Caenorhabditis elegans: one gene and its partner. The protein of the gene in region 1 interacts with the protein of each later gene in a pairwise test. Each region holds a gene or a part of one and is shown in the gene's direction. Other genes may lie near its edges.

What was found.
Region 2: the proteins of F39H11.1 (region 1) and oma-2 interact in a two-hybrid assay, tested with the Caenorhabditis elegans proteins (2 studies listed by BioGRID).

The regions. Positions count from the first base shown.
Region 1 is NC_003279.8:8,694,372-8,698,185, forward strand, and holds F39H11.1 (Craniofacial development protein 1), read left to right. Parts: upstream 1-2,231; 5' UTR 2,232-2,235; coding exon 2,236-2,334; intron 2,335-2,382; coding exon 2,383-2,615; intron 2,616-2,662; coding exon 2,663-2,707; intron 2,708-2,782; coding exon 2,783-2,945; intron 2,946-2,994; coding exon 2,995-3,129; 3' UTR 3,130-3,225; downstream 3,226-3,814. Other genes in the region: K07A12.5 (Pre-mRNA-splicing factor SYF2), read right to left, coding at 1-103, 150-287, 403-514, 567-708, 752-773; pbs-7 (Proteasome subunit beta), read right to left, coding at 992-1,273, 1,351-1,462, 1,508-1,686, 1,738-1,843, 1,890-1,921.
Region 2 is NC_003283.11:8,027,478-8,031,971, forward strand, and holds oma-2 (CCCH-type zinc finger protein oma-2), read left to right. Parts: upstream 1-1,961; 5' UTR 1,962-2,031; coding exon 2,032-2,069; intron 2,070-2,117; coding exon 2,118-2,273; intron 2,274-2,321; coding exon 2,322-2,543; intron 2,544-2,587; coding exon 2,588-2,735; intron 2,736-2,780; coding exon 2,781-2,997; intron 2,998-3,042; coding exon 3,043-3,443; 3' UTR 3,444-3,737; downstream 3,738-4,494. Other genes in the region: F43H9.4 (Glycine N-acyltransferase-like protein), read left to right, coding at 287-428, 485-696, 812-920, 968-1,029, 1,078-1,240; vars-1 (valine--tRNA ligase), read left to right, coding at 3,979-4,067, 4,110-4,186, 4,233-4,354, 4,400-4,494. UniProt on the Caenorhabditis elegans protein: Zinc-finger RNA-binding protein that binds to 5'-UA[AU]-3' motifs in the 3'-UTR of maternal mRNAs to suppress translation in oocytes and embryos.

The DNA.
Region 1 (3,814 bases):
ACTCTGCTTGGGACTTTTTTATGTTGTCCTGTTTATCTTTCCTTTGCTCCAAACTGATTTTCTGTTTCTTACGAAGAGCGTCCAGTTCCTTTTCACGAGCTGCCTAAAGTTCATGGTTAAAGTAAATTTCTCTATAATCTCTATGTTACGTGATCACGAATCGACACAAACTTTTTTTGTGGAGCCAAAGTGGATAAGTAGTATTCTTTCAATCGTCCAAATTCTACATCAACTTTCACTCCTTGACGATTGACAACCGTATTGGCTCGTTGCATCTTTGGATGGCGCTGAATTTCAAGAAATAATGTATTTCTTTTTAACTTTTTAGATGGATAGTAAAAACCGTAATTAAGCACTTCCTTTGCGCGGCGAGATATATATATATATATACTGTATGCTTACCACGTCTGAATTTTTCGATTTCGAAACGTATTGAGACTGCGTATGAAAGATTTCAACTACTTGCTCCTTTCGAAATTCTTCCCAATTTTTCAGTTGTTTCTGAGCATCCTTCCTGGAAACCAAATCAGATAAGTTATTACATATACATCAATTTATTTAATTACTTGTGAGTTTCATACTGATCATCACTCAGTTTATACCGCTGCTGCATCTTCTTTTTGTAGCTCATCTTCTTCGCCTGTTTCTTTTCATAATCAGATTTCTGTTTATCAGGCGATGGTGATAAACTGAGCTTTTGGAGTTTACCTGAAAGCGCTCGATTTTACTTTAAACCAAAAACTCATCATACTTTTTAAACCAGAGAAATTCATGCTCGCTATTTTTGACTCGAGCACTTGTGAAATGATGCGTGTGAATACTTAGACGTGAATAGAAGGATTAAATGGAAGTTTATTTATCGACTTCACGCGAAAATAAATAAAATTTACACCGAAAACGTGGGTTGGAGAGAGTAAAATGTTTTGAAAAGAAGGATACAAATAAGTTAAACATGGAGATACTGAAACGCATCCTGCACACCGGGGAAAACTTATTCATATTGACAGTTAGTCTCGGCAATCGACCAGTCACCAATAATCTTCTCTTCTTTACCCAAAACGACACCTTCTGTCGCATCAACACGTCCGATTTCGAACTCATTGTCAGCGACGCAGTCGTGGTAGAGAGTAAGTTCAAGCGATTTGCGAAGCACGGCTTCTGCCTCTTCACGGGAGAGGTCTTCTCCCTTCTTTCTCCACTCATCTTCAACAGCTTGGTTGAGGAGGAACGCTCCAAGTCCAGTTGCAATGTGCTTCACTTGATATGCGCATCCCTGAAATTTAGAATAATTATTATGTGATTATTTAATCATGAGATTCTGATCCGGCAAGTTAACGCTTTCAAGTTTACCTTCTGAGTAATGACACCGATGAAAGGTGTGCTAGTCTCCTTGTTGTTCTTCTCCTCCTCTTCGACTCCGGCGACAACAAGTGTGTTCCACACTGGGTTCATCTTGCAACGTCTGAAATTTTTTACTTAAACTTTCAATTTAATTAGGAAAACAGACTTGGCGTAGAGAAGGCTTGTGAGGTATCCGTGGAGAGCTTTTGGTCCAATATCCTGATCGAAGCGCTTCCAGAGAAGAACCTGACGCTCGATCACATTTTGAAGCCAGTGGAAGTCAGCGTGATCTCCTCCGAAGGCAATGAGAACATTATCATTGACCTTGTATTGACGAGAAACATTCTGGAAACAAATATTATGAAAATCCACTTTCAGCTGAACGGAAATTCAAACCTTGTAACGAGCCATTTTTCCATAGGAAACAACTCGATCAGTAAGGACAACAACCCCAGTTTTATACTGGAGAGCGATAACCGATGTTCCGGTACAAGTAGGATTCCTGAAAAATTGAGTTAATTCAAACGAATATAGGTTTAATGACTTACAGTGTGCGCTGGACTTCGTCGTGAGCATTCATTTTGGTTCTGAAACAATATAAATGAAGTTTTTGAAGGGAGTGCTTTGAAAAAATGAAAGGAAGTGAATTTCGACAATGAAATGCAAAAATGGCGGCTAAGTCATCATAAAGCATGTGCGCTCCGTCGAATTTTACACTGAATACCACGCACAATTGCGTACTTCAATAAGAAAAATTATCTCGCGCTACTTTTTTTGAGATAATATTATAATATAAATTAATTCATATTTTATAAATATATTAATTCATATTTTATTCTTTTGAATTCTCACTGAAATTGTGAAACTATTTAAAATATAAATTGTTTCAGAAAAATGACCTCGGAGCTTAAAAATAACGAAGAAGACTACAACTCATCGTCCGATGAAGATTACGATCCAACAAAGGATACCGATTTTGATCCAAAGGATGAAGTAAGCATTCCTAGATATCGCCCTTTTATTGCTCATTCTCCTCAACAGATCGATGATCAAGAAGAATGCGAAGATGGAATTGACGAAGAAGTTGAACATCTGAAAAATGAAAAACAAAGTGACGACCATACATCAGAAAAGGCAAACAGTACTGAAGGAAGTGTTGATGTGGATGCGATATTTGCAGAATTAACTGGGCTAGCACCGAAACCAGTTGTCAACGATACATCAAGCAAGAATATTCCAAAAACTGAAGAAAGGGTGTATCCAAAATCAGCAGCGTATGTTTGAAACAAGTAGAAATAACTTTTAAAAATGTATTTTACAGATCTGCATCCAACGAGTCTACAAATCAGAAGGTTTATCCGAAAAAGTGAGTTGACATGAGTTTTTATTTGATACAAATTTAAAAACAACTTTTTCTTATTTTTCTAATAATTTTTTTCAGAACGGAAACAGCTGGAACATCGTCTGAAAGTAGCATTGTACCCGGAAAGAAAAGAGTCGGCTTGCTTGATGCTGCAAAATCACTGTCGAAGCGTTCTAAAATTTCTGTTTTGGAGAAATCTGATCGAGATTGGAAAGATTTTACGACGCAAAATAATTTAAAAGTATGTTTCTTTAAGTTTAAGGTTTTTGAATAAATTGTTTGTTTTTCAGGAAGATTTGGAATCTCATAACCGAGGGAAAGGCGGTTATCTGAACAAAATGGACTTCTTAAACCGAGCTGATAATCGCCAGTTTGAAAAAGAACGAGCGTTCCGTGCAACAGCTCGTAAGGACACTGGACAGTAAATAATTCTTTATTTTTTCAATTGAATCTTTTTTGTGATTTTCTGGTTTCTTTGACAATTCGTAACTTTGAAAAATTCATAAACCTTCTGTAAAGATACGGACATTGAAATTTAATCATGAACATATTTAATGGACAAAAACGAGAAAAATGGTAAAGGGAGACAATAACTAAATCTAGAAAAAGGATGAATCATGAAAAGGGAATTGTAGAAAAATCACATTCTAAAATAATTAAAATGAAATACAACAACTTTGGGAAAAGGTAGGTTACAGTTTTATAATACGAACTCGTTTGTTTTTAAGGACTTTTTGTGGAATTTTTGCGAATTGTTTCAGAACAAAAAAAAATCTGCTACTTGTTTTTAAAACTGGGATTCATGAGGAAAAATAGATAATGGAAAATAAGGAAAAATTAAGATTTGCTGGGCTTGAGGGGAACATGATGAAGACATGAAGTAGAGAGCACATAGTGGGATGTGGAGAGAGAAAGAGCTAGAAGGAAGCGAGAATTGTTTTTCTGATCATTGTGTTAATTTTACAAAAAAATGGATAGGAGATTGTGTTGATTCGATGATGACTTATGATGTTGATGATGGTAACGGCAAACAGAGAAAGAAAAGAACAGGAAAAAAGCGGATAAAGCATGAATTTTGAAGCACACAGAACAATTGAAAGAACAAGATAT
Region 2 (4,494 bases), on another chromosome or scaffold:
ACAATTACTTTATAAGTAGGTACACGCGACCCTAAACTTTGTTCACTTTGAAAAAAAAGTGAATTCCGTTTTAAATGTCCATGGCTGACTACATTTTTCCGTATCTTCACTCATGTTTTTCCGATTCGACCGTAATATTTGATAAGATCAAACATTTCCATGACAATCCATTCCTAAACCAGTTTTTCTTCATTTTCAAAAACATTTTTCAGTATCACTAAAGACCTTTTCCCACCTTTTGCTATCTCTTTTTTTCAATTCGAAATTGACCTTCGCACCTTTTCAGAGACCGTCAAATTCTGACACACGATGGAAAGTTTCGAGAAGAAGACTTTCTGGCGGTTTTTGATGAATTCTGTAAAACAAATGGATTGTTTGCTGGCTCCAATGCTCCATCAACTGTAGCCGAGAAATGTTACACTAAAGCGGTAATACACAATGAAAACAGAACAAAGGTTAATAGATAAGAAACGTTTGATTTTAGATTGAAAAGTACATGAAGAAAAACAATATTAATGCAGAGGTGCAAAACAAATCAACACACTTTTTTGCAATGAATGAAAGTCAAATTTTCAAATATAGAAATTATGGTGATACAACATTACCTGATGGATACTCAATTGATATACCTGAATCAACAAATGATGTTATGAAGATTGTAGGATCATCTATCACACCAAATGCAAAATTAGTAGAGTGAGTTTTTGGATCAGGAAATTAAAAACCAACAGTACTAGATTTATATCATTTTCTCACAAAATCGAGAAATCGTAAAACAACAGTTACATGGAAAAATAGGAATTTTTTTCAGAGAAAAACTTCGACGGTTCCCATCGCTCTGCGTTCGTAAAGGCGACGAACTTGTTGGATTCATTTCTTCAGAAACTCACGGAGCACTTGCTCATTTGCATGTCTTTGATGTGAGTTTTACTATTTTCAAATTGAATATTTTCAAATCTGTTTTTAGGGGCATCGTGGTAAAAATCTTGGAGAGAAGTTGGAGATTGGAGCTGCTAAAATGGCTATTGAGTGAGTGATTTTTTGACAAAGGACTGTGGAAAAATGATAATATTTTAGAAATGGAATGCGTCCATGCAAGTTCATCGACACAACAAACAGTTTCTTCTTGGAAAAAGCAAAAAAGTCAAAGTTGATGGATGTTGTTGAGTCCAATGGAACACCGCTAGTTTTCGACCAAAATGTTTATTCCCAGGCGTCAAATTATGGAATGCACAAGTGATTTTAATAGGAATACAATGAACTTACAATAAATCAAATATACATGTAAATATTGAATAAAAATTCGAATACCTTCCAGCAAGTATATTTGCAAAGTAATGTTCTTTTACAGCTAGATTTTGGTCAGACAGTGTTGTTGAAAATTTTTTAGTCGAGAAAATCTAGTTATTCGCTGTTTATGAGTTACTTTTTCAGACAATTACACAATTTCCATGCTTGCTAAAAAAAAATTATTAGTTACAGTAACCTTTAAAGGCGCAGCAGCGGGGAGTGCACATCTCAAACGAGTGTGACCGTAGTCATTGGTGAAAATTGGCAACATTTTCTTGCAAGTTTTTTGACTTTGATTCAACCATAAATTTCAGACTTAATTCTAAACTTAAGTATTAAAAAATAATTATTTGATCTTATTTAGCGCGCATTGCCGCCAAACATTGACTTTTTGTTTCGAAATTTTGGGACAGAGATGGTTTTCTTCAGTTTTCTTTTGTTCAACAACATTTGGTTCTGTTCATTCATTTATTTCATTCAGAAGGATTTTGGCCCGTTTATTTGAATTTTAAAAGAGCTTATTTCTGAATTACGTCGCTTAAAACAATAATTTTATACCGTTTTGGCGCATTCGTTTTTTCTCGTTAAAAACTTATTTCTTTCATTCTTTAGACGGTTGTTATTCATTGCTCGCGGAATCTTACCATTTTTAAAATTTCTTTAAATTTCAGGGAATCAATTAACCGAGCACCCCACGCCTAATCACTAACCACCCATTTCCCCTGCACTACTAACGAAATAATGGATATGCTCAAGGAAAATGTTATCCAGAATAATGAGTGAGCCACTTTTATCATAGTTTCTCAATTTTAATTTTCTTTTTTAAGGGCTCGTACAGAGTCGAGTGTTGAACCATCGCATCCCGATATGATGGAGACTGTTCCGGAAGAACAGCAAAAACCGATTTCTCATATCGACGATTTGCTTTCCGAGACCGCTAACCTGATGGCTGTCAAGGAGCAGCTTCTCAAGGAGATTGCTGAGTAATTCTATAGGATAAATGGACTGTTTCTTAAATTTTATCTTCTCAGAAACGAGCATATTCATTCGATGCAAATGAGAGCTCTTCAAAATCTTCCACAGGAAGCTATTCTCCCACTGCAATATCATGCTGATCCAAGACGCCGTCACCGAATGCAAAAACCGGAATCGTACAAGACTGTCATATGTCAGGCTTGGTTGGAGTCGAAGACATGTGCTTTCGCGGAGAACTGTCGTTTTGCTCACGGCGAAGAGGAGCTTCGTCCATCTCTGTTGGTTTGAACATTGAATTAAGATTACACAACATATTTTACAGGATCGAGGCACGTCAAAACAATAAGTACCGGACGAAGCTCTGCGATAAGTACACTACTACTGGGTTGTGCCCATATGGAAAACGCTGTCTTTTCATTCATCCGGACAATGGACCAAATGCATACATTCGAGCCGATAAATTGTTCGAGGTAAGATAACTTTTTAATTTTCCACTTTAATCAAATCTTCAACAGGTTTCGCAACGTCATGCTTTGGCCGACCTTCGCGATCAAATGGAGCATCATATCATGAATGGAGGTCGTTCTACAGCCGGCCCTCAACAATTTGATATGTTTGCAAGGCCATGCACACCAGATGAGCCAGCAGCAAATATGCCATTGGGTCCAACCCCAGTTAGCATTCGTGGACCACGATACGAGTTGCCATCGAAGAAGCCACTTGAGACTGAGGGTATGAAAATTGAATATTGATGATTAATTCAAAATAATTTTACAGAAGCCGGGAATCGCCCACCATCAAGCTGGCCGTTGGATCCATCAACTTTCTTCGCATTGGATAGTCTGAATATGGCAACTCGTCCAATCAGTCCGTTTGAGTCTATGCTTATTGGAGCAGCCGGGAACATGCAATACTCTATGCTTGGAAAACAATCAACACCGGGAGGAGTTTCGGGATATTCTTCCTCTGGATCAACTCCGTCTCAAGATAGTGATTCGTCTCCACTCACAGCTGCTTCTGCTGCTGCAGATGCTGCCTGCCAAGCCAACTCGGAGTCTGCTCAGTCTATTCTTCTGAAGTCTATCAACAATCCGATGATTGGAAACGAGACAACTCTTCCAATTCCTGGACTTGATCAACTTGCCATGGACATTGCCAAGCACCTTGAATTGTGGTGAATAACCACCTCCTTCCCCATCTATTTATACATTTTGTCAAATTGCCATACGTTTTTATGTCCCATACTAACTATAATAACGCGCGCAATTTGTAAATATAATAAGCTCAATGTTCCTGTCATATAGAAAGCACGCTCGCTCCCCCCATCTCTCGCAGGCTCTGAAACTAAACTTGAATTATTTTGCTGCATTTTATTATATCGGATATCATTGCATGTATTTTCAATTCCCTCCAAATATAAATTGCTCGTATCCTCTCCCCACACTAACAATCAATAAACTTTATCGAATGTCAATCAATGTTTTTGAAGACCATCTGGAAATAACGTTTTTTCACGAAGATATCTGATTTTCAATTATAGAATTGCAAAATAATTTCTGAAATGTTTCGTTTGACAAAAAAATATTTTTTAATCTTCCCTCCAATTAGTTTCGCGACAGGGCGCATTTGCTTCGTCCAGACGAGCGTTAATTTTTCAACAGATTGAGCGCATTCTTTCTTTTAAATTATTGTTTGTGGTTTCAGGTGAAATAAATGGGTAAATTGAATCGATTAGCACTTTTTCATCGTTCAAGAAGGCAATGTGCTTACTCACCGACAATTATTACACGTGAAAGTAGTAGGTAAACGATAAACTAAGAAAATAAAATAACTAATTTTTTCAGCTCCTTTAACATCGACGAGGTAACACAAAATTTTGAACAAAGAACAGAGTTTGCCGCTGCAAATTATCGAAAGAATGGTCAGATTTCCTTGATAATAGTTCTAGGCAAAAAAATATTTTTCAGGCAGTCTATTTCGTATGGTTTTACCCCCGCCAAACGTAACTGGTAAACTGCATTTGGGACATGCTCTAACAGTTGCAGTGGAAGATGCTATTTGTCGACACCAGAGAAATCAGGGAAATAAAGTAAAATTTCACGAAAAATTAAGATGCTTATTTTTATGTTTTCAGGCCGAATGGATTCCTGGATTTGATCACGCAGGAATCGCCACACAAGTAGTCGTGGAAAAAATATTGGCAAAAAATGGAAAGCGACGACTTGAGAT